2 linked regions of the Rhinolophus ferrumequinum genome follow. The protein of the gene in region 1 interacts with the protein of each later gene in a pairwise test. Links are inferred from orthologs where the notes say so. Each region holds a gene or a part of one and is shown on either strand. Other genes may lie near its edges.

Region 1 (7,169 bases):
TTCTGTGGCCAGGAGAGGTGTCTCCGGGCTATTGAGGAGCCTCTGGTGTCTTCCACAGGCACTGTGAGTGTCACTGGGGCCCAGAGCTCCAGGCTCGTGTGCCGGGTTCCCGGAGAGGCATGGGGGCCCAGGCTACCGTCCTGCTCTTGATTCTAAGATGGTGGTGACTCTGTGGGAGGCTCTGTGGTCCCTGCCTCTGGGCCTTGGCTTTCGGACGCCCCCCCCCCCCCCCCCGCCTCCCCCCCCCCCCCCCCCCCCCCCGCCCCAAGGCTGTGAGCCAGGAGGCCACAATCCATAGGAGGCCACACTCCACACACATACCTGCAGCTGAGGATGCACCGTGCCTGCCAGGTCCCCCGCCTCCGTGCGTGGGAAGTCCATGCCCCTAAGGACTCGATATGCTTCCATCTCAAAGGCAGGAAAGGCTGTGCCTGTGCGGGGCGTGGGGGGTAGGCTGCATCCATGAGCTTGTCCATCCCTCCAGGCCCCAGGGCAAAGTGGGCTGTGAGGGACCCTCAGGACTCGTTCCCAGCCCACCCAAAAGCCTGGCTCCTTAGCCCCTGGGCCAAGCCCCCTCCTCTTTGGGCCTCAGTTTACCAGCAAATCCTGGGGGGTCTCACCTTGGTTGAAGAGCTGGATGAAGTCCAGAGCTGCAGCCACCAAGGCCCTCATCCTGGTGAAAAGGTCAGCCCGCAGCACGCCCTGAGGCTGGGGACCCAGCTCCAGGGCTGGGGACCAGGAAGGAAGGGGTCAGGCAAGTGCCCCAGAGAGGGGGGATGCCGGACCCCAGGCCCCTGACACCGCCCATCATCTGGCCCCGCACTTCCCAGCCCCGCCAATTTCTCCCAAGGTCGTGGCACACCCATTCCGTTCTTGGCCACTGAATTCAGGCTACCACTCTCCTCCTTGGGCAGCTTGTATAGGATGACCCGGCAGGGCAGCTCCGGGCTCAGCATCTGTGAGCAGAAGGGTGGGTCAGGGCCCCAGGAGGGGAGATGGGGAGTCACATAGAGACAGCACAGGGCACCACCTGGGGAAGTGGGGTGAGGGGTCCAGAGGGCCTGGGGTATCTGCGGGTGGCCGGCCCCAGGGACAGGAGCCCAGGGAACCACCTCCTCCGCACCCCCAGCCACGGAGGCACCAGAGCCATTGGTGTTCTCTTCCCAACCTCCCTCGCTCCGCAATCTGGGGGCACAGGGCCACCTGTAGGTGGCGGTACAGGTGCATCGCAAAGACATTGTGGGCGGTGTCCACGATGAGGCAGGTGCCCATGTTGGCTGTGGTGTTGTGCAGGTCGAGGACAAAATCAAAGGCCCCGCCTGAGGCCATAGGCCCCAGCAGCTGGTTCAGCTCTCGGGCCCTTGTCACCTCGTATGGGTCATCTGGGTGGGCCCTGGCACTGCAGGAGTAGGGGTAGGGTATCAGCCACTGACAGGCTCTGTCAGAGAGACAGAGCAGCTCAGGGACTCATCCCTCGTGCCTCTGTGGCATGCCTGTCTTACCCAGAGCCCTTCTTGGCTCCCCACTGCTCCCGTAAAGTTCAAACCCTCAACCTGGTCTTGCCAGCCTGCCTTATCAGCGCTCACTCCAGCCACACTTCTTAGCACTGTGCTGGTCTCACTGCCAGACCTTTGCACCTGCTGGGCCCTTCCCTGGAAACTCCTTTTCTCTTCTCTTCACATGGTTAACTTCTAAATCACCCTTTAGGGTTTGGCTGAGATACCACCTCCTCCAGGAAGCCCTCCCTGACTACCCGTAGCCAGGTTAGATGCTTTGTGTTGCCCCCACCCCTGCATTTAGCCTCCTGGGTTGTGGTTGCTGAGTTTATCCTGTCTCCCCCAGTAAGCTGAAGATAACACCTTGGTCCTACTCCCCATTCTCAGAGGAGGCCCTGACCCACTGTGGTATCAGGAAGGGCTTCCTGGAGGAGATGACATCAATCTGGATTTCCCTAAATTGAAAAAGGAAGAATGGGCATTGAGAGCAGAGGGGTGTGCGCTGCTGGTGGCTGGAGGAAGAATTTGAGGTGAGGACCTCGGTGCCAGGCTAACGGGCTGGGCCATCCTGGCAGGCAGGGGCCCCAAAGCCGCGAGGACACTTACGTGAGGAAGGTGTTGGTGAAGGTGCGATTGAGGTCACGGTCCATGTAGCGACGGCAGGCGGCTGTGGCCGCCGGGTTGGCCAGCACAGGCATGGCAGAGAAGCTGGGTCTCTGCAGCTCCCCCGGGGCCCGCAGCCAGTGCTGGGCCAGGCAGACGCCAGACATCTCATTGCCGTGGGTGCCCCCGGTCACTGCCACGCGGCGCAGAGGCTCTCGAGGCACAGGCAACGAGCACATTCTGGTATGCGGTGAAGGACCTGGTGGGCGGACCTGCTGAGGCGACTCCAGCACAGATGTAGAGCCCAGTGCTCAGAGCCAGGATAGTGGTGGTGAGCTCCCTGAGGTCTGACGAGTCCAAGCCGGGCAGGGCAGCTGCCTGTCAAAAAGTATGGCTGGCTGGTAGCTCGGCTGAGTCCCACTGCACCTCCATGGCTCAGCTCAGGGTTTGTCCCTCCTGGTGCCTGCAGCCCCTTTAGCACCCTTCCTGGGAGGGCACCCTGCTTTTCTGTGAGACCATTTTACTGCTCCCTTCGGAGAGAAGGCATTTCTTCCTCATAAGTTGGGGCAGTGGATTCACCGAGACACACACCCTATAACAAAAGGATTAGGCTCCCATTCTATAGATGGGGAAACCAAGGCATAGGATGGGAAGCAGAGAACATCACGTGCATTAGCTATGGAGCTTCAGGGTTCCAGGTGACATCTGCTCCTTCCTGCCCCTCCTGCGTGCTCCTCTGAGCCAGTGCAGGGACCTCAGGGAGCGGGGTGGTTACCTGCTGATGGGGGTCTGGGCTTCCTGGCCTGCCAGGGCTGGGCTGCCCCTCCTAGACTGGCTGGTATTTATGGGGCTGGAGATCCCTGGGCAGGAAGTGTTTGCCACAAATTGGTGGCGAGCAGGGAGTGGGTGGTGCGGGTTGAAGTCCAGCCAGAGGTCAGGAGCTCTGTGGTCTCCCCACCCAGCTCCACCCCACACTGCCACTGGCCACGGCCACAGTCCACTGCGTTCAAGCCTGTAGCCAGGCTTGGATCCTTGCCCCCACCTCCCAAAGTCAAGTAGGGCCCCCACTTGGAAAATTACTTGCAGGGAATCTTTAAGGCTTGGGATGAAGATGAGCTTCTCCCGAGAGCGCCTCAGAAGGCGGTCCAGCATGGACTGTTTACTGTGTCGGGGTCCAGCCAAGGCCGGCGGGCCTGGAATGCAGCCTTTGATCCACTGACTGGGCCGTAGGCCACCACCAGCCCAGGCTGCTGCGTTTCCTATTAAGACGTGTGCCTTGGCAGCTGCCCCACCCCTCTGTCCCCTCGGCAACGTGCTTCTGCCCTTGCAGCCCCCAGAGGAGCAGGGGTAACTCAGAGATTCATCTTGCTTTGTTTTGGAAGTGACCGTCAGACCCACTTCACAGATGTGAACCTGGGGCTCAGACAGAATGCCCAAGGGCACACAGGGCACTAGAGCAGAGCTGGAGCTGGCACCTGGGGGTGTCCAATCTGAGCCCACCTTCTGGGCCTGTCCCTCCCCCAGGCTTAGAGTTGGTGTGAGGGTTAAATGGGATCACATGCATTTAGGGCCCAAGGGTCCCCACTCCAGGGTACAGTGGAGTCCAGACTCATGTAAGTGATGCCAGCGTGGGGCCCAGAGGCCCTGGCTGCAGAGGGGTTCCTGACCACACATCTCCCAGAGCTCCCCAGGGCTCTGTCATGGCCTCAGGGACGGTCCAGAGGTCACTGAGGAGAGAGGCAGAGCCAGGCAGAGCTGGGCAGTGAACTGTCCCCCACCGTTTCCCCCCTGCCATCCCCAGGCATCTGGTCTCAGGCCTTCTTCGCTCCCAGACTTAGTCCTCCCAGGCTGGTTCATCCCTGGCCAGAACCAGGCCCACCAGCTGGCATTTCCGGTGGCCAGGCCCCTCCAGGCCAACCCTCTTTGCAGCTGCGCAGATCACATTCAACTCATGGTGAAGCCTGGGCCTGCCTCTGCTGTCCTGCCCTCCACCCTTATCATGGGGAAGGTGGCTCCCCTCAGGGCAGTGGGTACCTTAATAGGATAGCTGGGCAGGGGTGATGAAGTGTGAAGCCGGGTCTCCAAGGGAGCGGGGTCCCCTGGTACCTCCTGGAGGGGAGGACCCCCTCCTAGGGTCTGGACGGCAGCAAAGGGAGGGCAGAGACCACCATCAGGGTCATTGAATCTTCACCTGCATTGGCCCTGGAGGGCAGGCAGCGAGGCGCGTTTCACAGTACGGACCTGGGCTCTAGGAGGTGGAATGACTTGGCCGAAACTGGTAGGTGACGGTGGAACAAGTCAGCAGGCGAGCCTGTGTCTGTCTCCCTCCCAGTCCCAGCTACCCACATACTCTGGGCAGAGGCCTCAGGGCCCGCGGTTGCTCCAGAAGCCATGGTCTCCAACAGAGAGGCTGCCCGCTCTGCCGGGATTCTGCTGACTTGTTGCTGGCCTCTTAGGGAGGAAGGAAGGGCCTACTCAGCAGACCTGGCTATTTTTGGGGGTCCTGGGGGCTGGGGAACTTTCTGCCAGGAGGTGCTGGGCCCCCAACTCTGGGGAGGAGAGCAATAGGGGGTCCTGCAAAGTTTCACTTCCCTGGGTGGGGTCCAGCTTCCCTGTTTCAGAGGGTGTATACAGAATGGAAGGGGGTCCGGGAGCCGGGGCAAGAACCCCCAGAAACAGCAACCCCCAATCCCAACTGAGTGCATGTGTGTGTGCGTCGTGGATCTGTGTGTTCACATCTGTGCCATGTGTACCGACGTGTGTCTGTGTTGCAGTAGCGAGAACAGTTGAGGTGGGCCTTCTGAGTCTCACCTCTAAGCCCAGGAAGTAGAGGGGTCCCCCGACCCCCTTGGCTCTGACACCCATTCCTGACAGGCTGTGTGACTTGGGGAGAGTCAGTGCCCTCTCTGGGCCTCGGCTCCTCCTGAAATGGGAGTGAGGCTCTCTTCCAGCCCCGGGTAGCTGTGAGGAGTGAGGGCGCACCCCAAGCTTGGAATAGGCACACGCACGGCAGACCCTGGCAGGGCCAAGGGCAGCGACATTGTGTCAACGCGGCCAACGTCGTCACCACAGTTGGGGAAACTGAGGCCCAGAAAGAGGTTAAGACCTGAGCCAACCCACAAAATTGTAAGGCTTGGCCCAGGAGAGCCATGTGACGTGAGAGCTACTCCTATGGGCCACTGTCCAGTGGCTTTGGAGCTCCTGCCTGCCTGCCCTCCGTCCTCCCCAGGCTCTAACTCCCTCTTTGGCCTCTGCTCACTCCCCATCTGCTGTCTTTTCACAGCACCCTCGTCACAGCCTGTTCCTCCATCCCAACCCCCCACCAGGACCACCCTGTCCAGTTCATCCCACTGGCCTGGTGTTCTGGGGTGGGGATGAGAGGAGGACACCTCATATTGTAGTTTTTCTTAATGGCCCCACTCTAGACTACGGCCAGTTACCACAGTGGAACCTGCACCTACGGCTGAAGTTGACCCCTGAGCCCGGAGGGACCCTGGGATGGCCCCTAAGCCTCGGGCGGCAGAACACCACTGCTGGACAAGGAGAGGCTGCTGTCCCAGACCTTGAGGCCATGACAGAGCCCTGGGGAGTGTGTGGTAAGGGGCCCCTCTGCAGCCAGGGCCTCTGCCCAACGCTGGCTCGGCTTACATAAGAGTCTAGATTACACCGCATCCCAGAGTGGGGACCCCAGGGCCCCAGACATACGTGATCCCATATAACCCTCACACCAACTCTGTGAGGTAGGTGGGAACCCCATTCGACAAGATAAGAAAACAGAGGCTCAGAGAAGTGAAGGGTCTTGTCCAAAGGCACCCAGTCACGATGTGGCCGTGAAGCCATGTGAACCCAAGCTTCCTAGGTGGTGGCGCTACTGCAGGAAAGGGTCGGGTGCTCTGTGAGCCAGACTAGGCCACTGAGACGTCTGGAATGTGAGCTGCATTCCTGGGGGAGGCAGTGCCTGAGTGGAGGTGGGGGAGGGGCAGAGGTCAGCGGGAGGGAGAACTGGGAGGAGAGAGCCACTGTGCAGAAGCCTGGAGGGGCTTGAGGCTCTCTGATCTGTGTTTAGGACACAGACTTTGTGTGCTGAAAAGCAGGACACAGACTTTGTTCTGTGTATGGATGACACCGCCTCCAGGTCTGGGCCTGGTCAACCATGACTGAGAGAGAAAAGGGCTGGAATTGGGAAGGGCGGTGTGAATAGGGGCTGCTGGACATATTCGTGGTCTCTCCTGAACAGCCTCCCCAGGGTGGAAGGGAGAACATGCTCTCAGCTTCCCTTACGGCCAGGATGCAGTCATGTGACTCCATTTTAGTAGTCAGCGGCCACCGAGACTCAGGCATTCTGGGACTGCCCTCCCCACCCCCAGTGGGCCCCCCCGAGCCACATTTCCCTTGGAGGCTTTGCCCTGTCTTTGAACCACAGCAACCAATGGCCAAGAGGACACAGGGAACAAGATTAGGTGTGGTGACAGCAGTGAAATTTCCAGTCTTCACTGGGCAGAATCTTCTGTTCTTTGCTCACTGGGCTCACTCCCCATGGCCTGGAGATGCTCTGATTCTTTTCAATCCCTCTGGCTCTCTGTTCAGTCCGATGGCCATTTGGAGGAAACAGCTTCCCGTGGCAGGGGTGGGGAGAGTGGAAATCTCTCAGACCCAGGCCCACTGGTCACTCATCTTCTACCCGGGCCACCTACCCGTCCAGCCGTTCATCCACCACCCCACCCGTCTAGCCGTCACCTCATGCATCCATTCAGCCAGCCACTCGCTTGCCCTTCTACCCACTCATTAACACCTCCATCTATCCATACAACTATACATCCGTCCTCTCACTTCCTTACTCATTCTTTCCTTCACTCATCAACAAGCCCTGTTAAGCACCTCCTTTGAGCCCACTTCGTACCCTTTTGGAGACAACTATCCCCAACAATTCCCAGAGGAACAGGAAAGTCATATTTTCCCTTTTTCCCCTCAAACCTCAAGCCACTAGCCCAAGTTTTTCCATGGCTCTGAGGGGTGAGGAGCCCACTGAAGCAAGACTGGGGGGATCGGGAGGGGACTCCCAGTTTCAGG
Region 2 (6,886 bases), on another chromosome or scaffold:
GATGTTCCACAAGATGACTATATTTGAATAAATGTAGATTGTTGTACATGAAAAAGTAAGACATGCCCTGAAAATACGCCCTTATGCCTCTTCTGGAGCAAAAATTAATATAAAATCCAGTTTTCAGGAAAATACGGTATAAGATCCAGTCTTATTTTCGGGGAAACTCGGTAAAAAGCTGATGTTGAGGAGGAAAGAATGGAAAAAGAAACTGTTTATTACAGCATTTTTCTTCATTTGTTATGACAGATGACATGCTCATTACGAAAATTTTAAACGATACTAGGTTATAAAGTTAAAATTGGAAGCCTGCCCTTCACCTCATTCACCTCCAGTTCTCTCCCCAGAGGTAACTAACCACTGTTAACACCTTGTAATGCATGCATTTTTTTCAAAACACAAGATCACACAAAACTATGTTCTGTGACTTGTTTTTTCCAGGTAACGCTACCCCATGGTCACCTTTCCATGTCGGCAGATAGTTCAATCTCACTCTTTTCAAGGGCCGTGTAATACCCCATAGTATTGGATCCACCATTTACTTAACCGTGTTGCCACTGGTAGAAACTTAGTTTACTTCCAGTTTCATCTGTGCTATTGTTTTGTTTTGCCATTAGAAACATTCAGTGAACATCCTGCTATGTGTGCTTGGGTATTTCTATTAGGTTACCATTTTGGAATTGTCAAAGGGGGAAATTGCCAGTATCCCCACCACCTGAATCTAAAGACCACTTCCATTTTGCTGAGAAGCTGCTGCATGGCTTTGGAGAAGAAGGGTAAACCCCACACAAGGATCCTCAAAACTTGGGGTGCCTTGGAATTACCCGGGAAGCATAAAAATAGATACCCAGCTTCTACCAGAATCTACAGGGGCTGAACACAGGCGAGTTTTGTTGTCTCTGCTGATGTTGCTTTGGGGGTTTTTTGGACAGCTCCCAAGTGCTGCCCTACGTGCATTGCAGGAGCCCTAAGCCGACTGCCACTGTCACGTGGAGATCTGTGACTTTAGCTCGGGAATAATGGGATGGATAATGCATTTACTCTTTGTGCCCTCTGCTGGTACTGCGTGAGCAGATCACACGTCGACGTGAAGGTTTTCATGTCAAGGCTGGTGAGAAGCCAGCACTCATCCCCCAGTGTGGTGACACTTCGGGGCAGCGACTATCGACCCAGGCTACACATGAAAATCACCTGGGGGACCTATTTGTAAATAGCTCTCCAGGTGATTCGGCACATGGAGCCAGGGCTTGAGAACTTATTCTTTAGGCAAAAATTGGCCCAGGAACACAAAGTCCACAGAGGCGTCTGACGTGAGAGCCCCTAGACCTCTGGGTAGTGATCATGGTCCCGGCAGGAGTGCTGTGCTCTCTGGGATGACACTGCTGCCCCAGTCATTGTGCAGCTACTGTCCTGGCAGAATGAAAGGACCCAGCGCTAGGCTTCATCTCAAGTCCCGTCTCCTGCTGGGTCCATTGCACCATCACCTCTGAATTAACTAACGCTTAATATTTGCTCCCACCTGTTGAGTTTGCAAAGCACTTGACATTTATTGTTTATTCTCACACCCATCTCACAAGACAGGCAGGAGTTTCCATTTAAAAAATGCAAAACCAAGGTTCAGAGACTGACTTACCTGCCCCAGGACAGGGAGTTGAGAACAGACAGAACAGAACCCAAGTCTTCTGACTCCTAGTCCTATGCTCCCCTGGCCACACCTCTCTTCCCACTTCACTGCACTGTACTGAGTGAAGTTGGCATAGCTTCCTCCAAAACAGCCACTTCTGGCCATTACCTACCAACGTCACCGACGGCGCAGTAAGAATTTGCACCACGGGCCTCTTTCCTAAACCAGGTGACTAGCATCCACCTGGTGAACGTTCTCATCCCAAAGCACAAGTTCCCAGGGGCCCTGGCAAAGTCTCCAACTGCCAGATCTCCTTCTTTAGCCTCACTCACACCCTCAGGCTTCTGTCAGAGATCCAGGCAGCCCAGTGCTACCCGGAAGCCCAGCGTCCAGATGTTCAGTTGCGCGTGTCCAGCACCCCAAACACCTGCGTGAAACGCTCTCTGTCCACGATGCGTCCATAGCGCAGGGTAAGATAGAAGGTTTGCTTCCCACTGTACTGCTGGATCCGCACGAATAGCTCCTGAGGCCGGTCCTGGGTTTCTGCCAGGGGGATGATGTCAGCCACTGGGCAGTAAGTGTCCTGCCGCCAGCCCCAAAAGGTCAGGTGGGCCACCCGCAGCACGGTTCCTGACTCGTTCAGGTACAGGATACCCACCAGCCTCCGGAAGAAATAGCTCATCCAACACAGCATGGTCAGGGCGAAGCCAGCTATCCCACCCACAAGGCACAGGGAGTTGAGAGTCATGAGGCCCTGGGAGTACCAGTAGAAGCCAGGTGGCAGGGCCACCACCGTCAGGGCCGTCTGTGCCACCTTCAGCTGAGACAAGTACCCAAAGGCTCTGATGGCATCCAAACGGTAGACCATGTGGAATTTCTCTGTCTCTGTGCCCAGTGGTCTCTCCTTCGAGGTGGCCGACCTGCTCCCCACGCACCTCCTAGGATCCTGCCCACTGCGGTACCACAGATGGTAGAGTGGCCTTCCCCACACGGTTGGCCCTGGCCACCGCGGCACAGCTCGGAGCAGGACAGCCTGGAAGGGAGACAGGAGACCATTTCTCTCAAAGAACTCAACCGTGCCCGTGACACAACCAACATCGGCAAAGATCTTACATGGAGGCTCCCACCAACCCTGTAAGGTCACCACTATTGCCAAAGCCAGAGGAAAGGTAAACCCAGATGCTTTACCTCACGTGATCTTCACAAAAGCTGTGTGAGACAGGAACCACTACTTCCACTTTACCAGTGAGGAAACTAAGCCCAGAGAAGTAAGAAATTTACCCAAAGACACACAGCTAGTGAGTGGGGCAGAGTCTGACTCTCACACTGGCCCTCTTTCCTCCAGGCAGTTCAAGTAGGTATAGGAAAGGAGGTGCAGCCTTCATTCATTTAACAAATACCTAGGGAGAGCCTACTCTGGGCTGGGCGCTGGAACTATAAGGCTATGTGAACACTTCCCCAAGCAGGAAACTAAACAGTCAATGTCCTGTGGACAACAAATTCGTGAGCTATATAGTATAATAACTTTTTGACTTTCTTGTCAGGTTAAAGAGTCATCTGGGTGTTTTCTTAGCCTTGTTTGGAGAGGGGGAAGGAATGGAAGAGGAGGGAAGGATGGAAGCACAAGGATTTTAGCAGGGGCCCAGTTCTACACCTTGAGTAGTGCAATGAAAGATGCTTTGGGTTGTGGAATCAGATCTAGGTTCCAATCAACAGATCTGGGTTCCAATCCTGACACCTAAAGTCACTAGCTGTGGATGCGTGGACAAGTTACTCCACCTCTCTGGGCCTCAGTTTCTTCATCTTTGAAATGGGGATTCAGAACATACTGAATGAGATAATGGTTTTAAAGGCCTCAAATGCACTTGATGGACTTGATAAACTTGCTACACAGTGAGTTTTAGTTATTGCTATTGTTGACCCACGTGACCTGAGTGCACAGGAAGCCCGGGAATAAGAAATCGTAACCCACCCCGGAGGCCTCTCCCGCGCGCTTTCCCCGAATCACAACCCCAGGCGTCGGCCTGACTCCGACCCCAAAAGCGCGTCAATTCCCTCAGTTCCCACCACCCTCCTTCTTACCATGGTTCTGCTGCCAGCTGTCGTAAGCGAATCCCACCTGCCCCCGGGATCGCTAAGAGCGCATGCTCGGCCGAAGCAGGACTCAGTGGACGCATTGTATTCTGGGATTTGTGGTCCAGTGAGAATAGCTAGTCCCAGGCACTGTGGGAGGGGATTCTCCTCCTCCCAGCGTGCCTTGCCGCACGGAGGCCGAACCCGGAAGTTCCGGGCCGAGGTTCCGGAGCCAGCGAGTCCTAGTAGATGCGGTGTGGAATCTGGGGACATGGCTCTGCCCGGCCCGGCGCTCTGCCTCTTCGACGTGGACGGGACCCTGACGGCTCCGCGGCAGGTAGGCGACGCCCGGCAGGCTGGAGGCAAAGGCTGCGGAGCCTCCTGCTGCTCCCTAATGGGGCTAACGACCCCCCAGGGTGTGCGTGGGGCGGGGGGGGCTAAGGACCGCCTACCTTTTCTGGCGGAGCTGAAGTCTATAGTGGGGGACCTGGAGGGATGAGACGGAAGACCTCAGTATCGTGGTCGCGCGCGGCTGCCGAAAGAGTAGCCGGCGGCAGCCGGTGTCTGTTTATTTAAGGAGAGAAGCACCGACAGAGGAGTTGCGGGGGGCGGGGGGGCAGTCTAGAGTAGACTGCTGCACCGATGAGAAGCTATGTTGGAGTTTTACTTTTTTCTATGCAGGGATGTGGGGTGCTTGTCAGCTTGCAGGGGTTGCCGTTATAATTGGTTTCTTCTGGGAACCGTTCTATTCCCACAGCTAGCTGGGGGTTGGGGGGGATTCAGAGCCAAGCAGTTAGTTTTTAAGCTCGTTCCTGTTAACTCTCAAGCTCCTGTTAACTCTCGTTCCCGTTAACTCTTTACCTGTCGCATCACTCAGGGTACTTGGAGATGGGACAGGGCCGAAAATTTCTTGAGAGCAAGAAACTTGTATTGGGTTGGAAAACGCAGTTCTGGACTGTCACTGCAAGCCCTGGGTTTGAACCCCAGCTCAGCCCGCTTACAGCCATGTGCCCTCCTCAGTCCTGTCACCTATGGGCTGTGCTTTGTAGCCTGTTATGAAAATATCACATAGGTTTTCAGGTGGAAAAGACCTAGTAGGTTCTCAGCTTTACCTCTTAACAGCTGTGTGACCTTGAGCAAGTTACCTAGCCTCGGCATCTAGGACTTTAAATGGGGACATTACCTGTTCCCATGTGGTGTTTGTGAGGGTTGAATGAAATCAAACAAGTTCATGAAAGTATCTTGGCACACAGTAGGCTGTGTTCAGTAATAATACAAATTAGCCGCCTCCATTACTGTCTTCACCAGCCCTCAGAATAGGCTGGGGTGGTTGAGGAGACCTAGATTGTTACAGGCTGCCTGCTGAGAGCCTCCTAGGACTCCTGGAAACTTGCTTCCCACGTTCAGATTTTGTTACTCCAGGCACATACAGGTTTCAGTTAAGATCAACATTTGTGAGGAAGCACCTTCTGACCTCCCCCTTGCACAAACTGGTCACCGAACATCAGCCATTCGCACTTGAGACTGGGCCCAAATGGCCTCACTAGCTTCAGGTTCTATCCTTACCTCCCTTGGTTTTGGCTGGGTGGTAGCAGTGGTGTGCTGCAGAATTCCACAGCACATGTGTGTGACCTTCGACATGTCATTTTACCTTTCGGGGCCACATGTTTGATATATCTAGTGAAGATATTCAACTGCAAGTTCTCCAAAGGTCCCCTTTGACTCTGAGATTCAGTGATCAAAACACAGTTGTGGGTTGTCAAAAACCCATAGTGGTCTAAAGCCAAGCAATCATTGTTTGTAAAGAGTCAGATAGCAAATACTTCTGTCTTTGCCAACCGTAAGGTCTGTAGTAACTACTCAGCTTTAATGCAAAAGCAGCCATAGACCATATGTAGACACAGCGTGGCTACGTTCCAGTAAAACTTTATTCACTTACCACAAAAACAGCTGCTCAGTTTGGTTCGTTGGCTGTAATGGTCTAGGGTTGATATGCCAAGCCTCTTTACACAATACGATTGGACATTTTCAAACTTTCTCCTTTCATCCCAGGTAGGATAGTTGTTACTACTATTTTAAGCATAAGGAAACAAACGCACGATTGTCGCTGGGCCTCAGGGCATTGTTACTTACTAAGAGTACCATTTTCTGCTCTTGTTCTAAGGTGGCAGCTATTCTGCTTGCTGGATATGTCATTCGGGGAAGTGCTCTGACTCCCAGAAGGAATCAGGTTATATAAGCATAAGGAATGAAATAGCAACAAAACCAGGCAACCCACAATGTATTCCCTTCAAACATTTGAAACACAACATTCATTGCAGTGAAAATAAATAATTTTAACACTCAAAAAAGTCTGTAATTAAGAGAGAATTGTTTCTGTGTGCTGGGTGCTCTTCGTAAAAAATAAAAATATTTTCGCAACAGATCTATTCATTATCCAGCTTTTCCCTTCCTTGACACACGCGTTCTCAAACACTGATAAGCACAGTACAGTCAGGAAGCAGAAGACTAGCTATTATTTCTCACAGCTGCTAAAACAGGATGTGACCTAAACAGGTGAATTCTCATTAGAATCCTGAGCTTTGCCCATTTCACTGTTTTCCTAGAAGTCTGTTGTACTAAACACTCCCAAGAAATGTCATTCTACCTAAAAACAGTTGAGCCTACACAAAGAAGGGAGACGTAAATCTAGGTGAGTTGCTTTCCAACTTTCTATGATGAAAAATTTCAAACATGCAGAATCACTTAAAAAACCAGTACACAGAAGAACCATATCCCTACCACTTAAATTCCACAGTGGTTGACATTGGCTTTATCTTCTTTTTGTTTTTTAATCTTTGCTGTACCACTTCCTAAGCTATAGTCATCACGCTATTTCGCCCCTAAATATTTGAGCCTGCATCTCTTTAGGACGTGTATCGTAACCACAGTATCTTCATCACACCACAAAAAACTATCCCCAATTCCCTAGGGTTTAATACCCAAAGACCAGCAAACTTTTTTCTGTAAAAGGCCAGATAGTAAGTAGTTGAGGCCTCGCAGGCCATGTGGCACAACTACTGTCACAACTACTTAACTCGGATGTTGTAACCAGAAGTGAGTGGACATGCCTGTGTGCCAGTCATGCTTCACAGAGACAAGCAGCAGGGCTGATTCTGGCCCATAGTTGGTATTTTGTTGACTCTTTGT

What was found.
Region 2: the proteins of ACY3 (region 1) and PMM2 interact in binary tests that used the Homo sapiens proteins (3 or more experiments, as listed by UniProt). The two-hybrid records come from large-scale screens. The link is inferred for Rhinolophus ferrumequinum from reciprocal best matches to the Homo sapiens genes ACY3 and PMM2.

The regions. Positions count from the first base shown.
Region 1 is NC_046294.1:4,657,773-4,664,941, reverse strand, and holds the start of ACY3 (N-acyl-aromatic-L-amino acid amidohydrolase (carboxylate-forming)), read right to left. Parts: upstream 3,001-7,169; 5' UTR 2,875-3,000; intron 2,478-2,874; 5' UTR 2,339-2,477; coding exon 2,103-2,338; intron 1,400-2,102; coding exon 1,204-1,399; intron 957-1,203; coding exon 863-956; intron 729-862; coding exon 621-728; intron 432-620; coding exon 322-431; intron 1-321. UniProt on the Homo sapiens protein: Plays an important role in deacetylating mercapturic acids in kidney proximal tubules. Also acts on N-acetyl-aromatic amino acids.
Region 2 is NW_022680357.1:9,030,191-9,037,076, forward strand, and holds the start of PMM2 (phosphomannomutase 2), read left to right. Parts: upstream 1-3,968; coding exon 3,969-4,034; intron 4,035-6,886. Other genes in the region: TMEM186 (transmembrane protein 186), read right to left, coding at 2,022-2,657, 3,707-3,970. UniProt on the Homo sapiens protein: Involved in the synthesis of the GDP-mannose and dolichol-phosphate-mannose required for a number of critical mannosyl transfer reactions.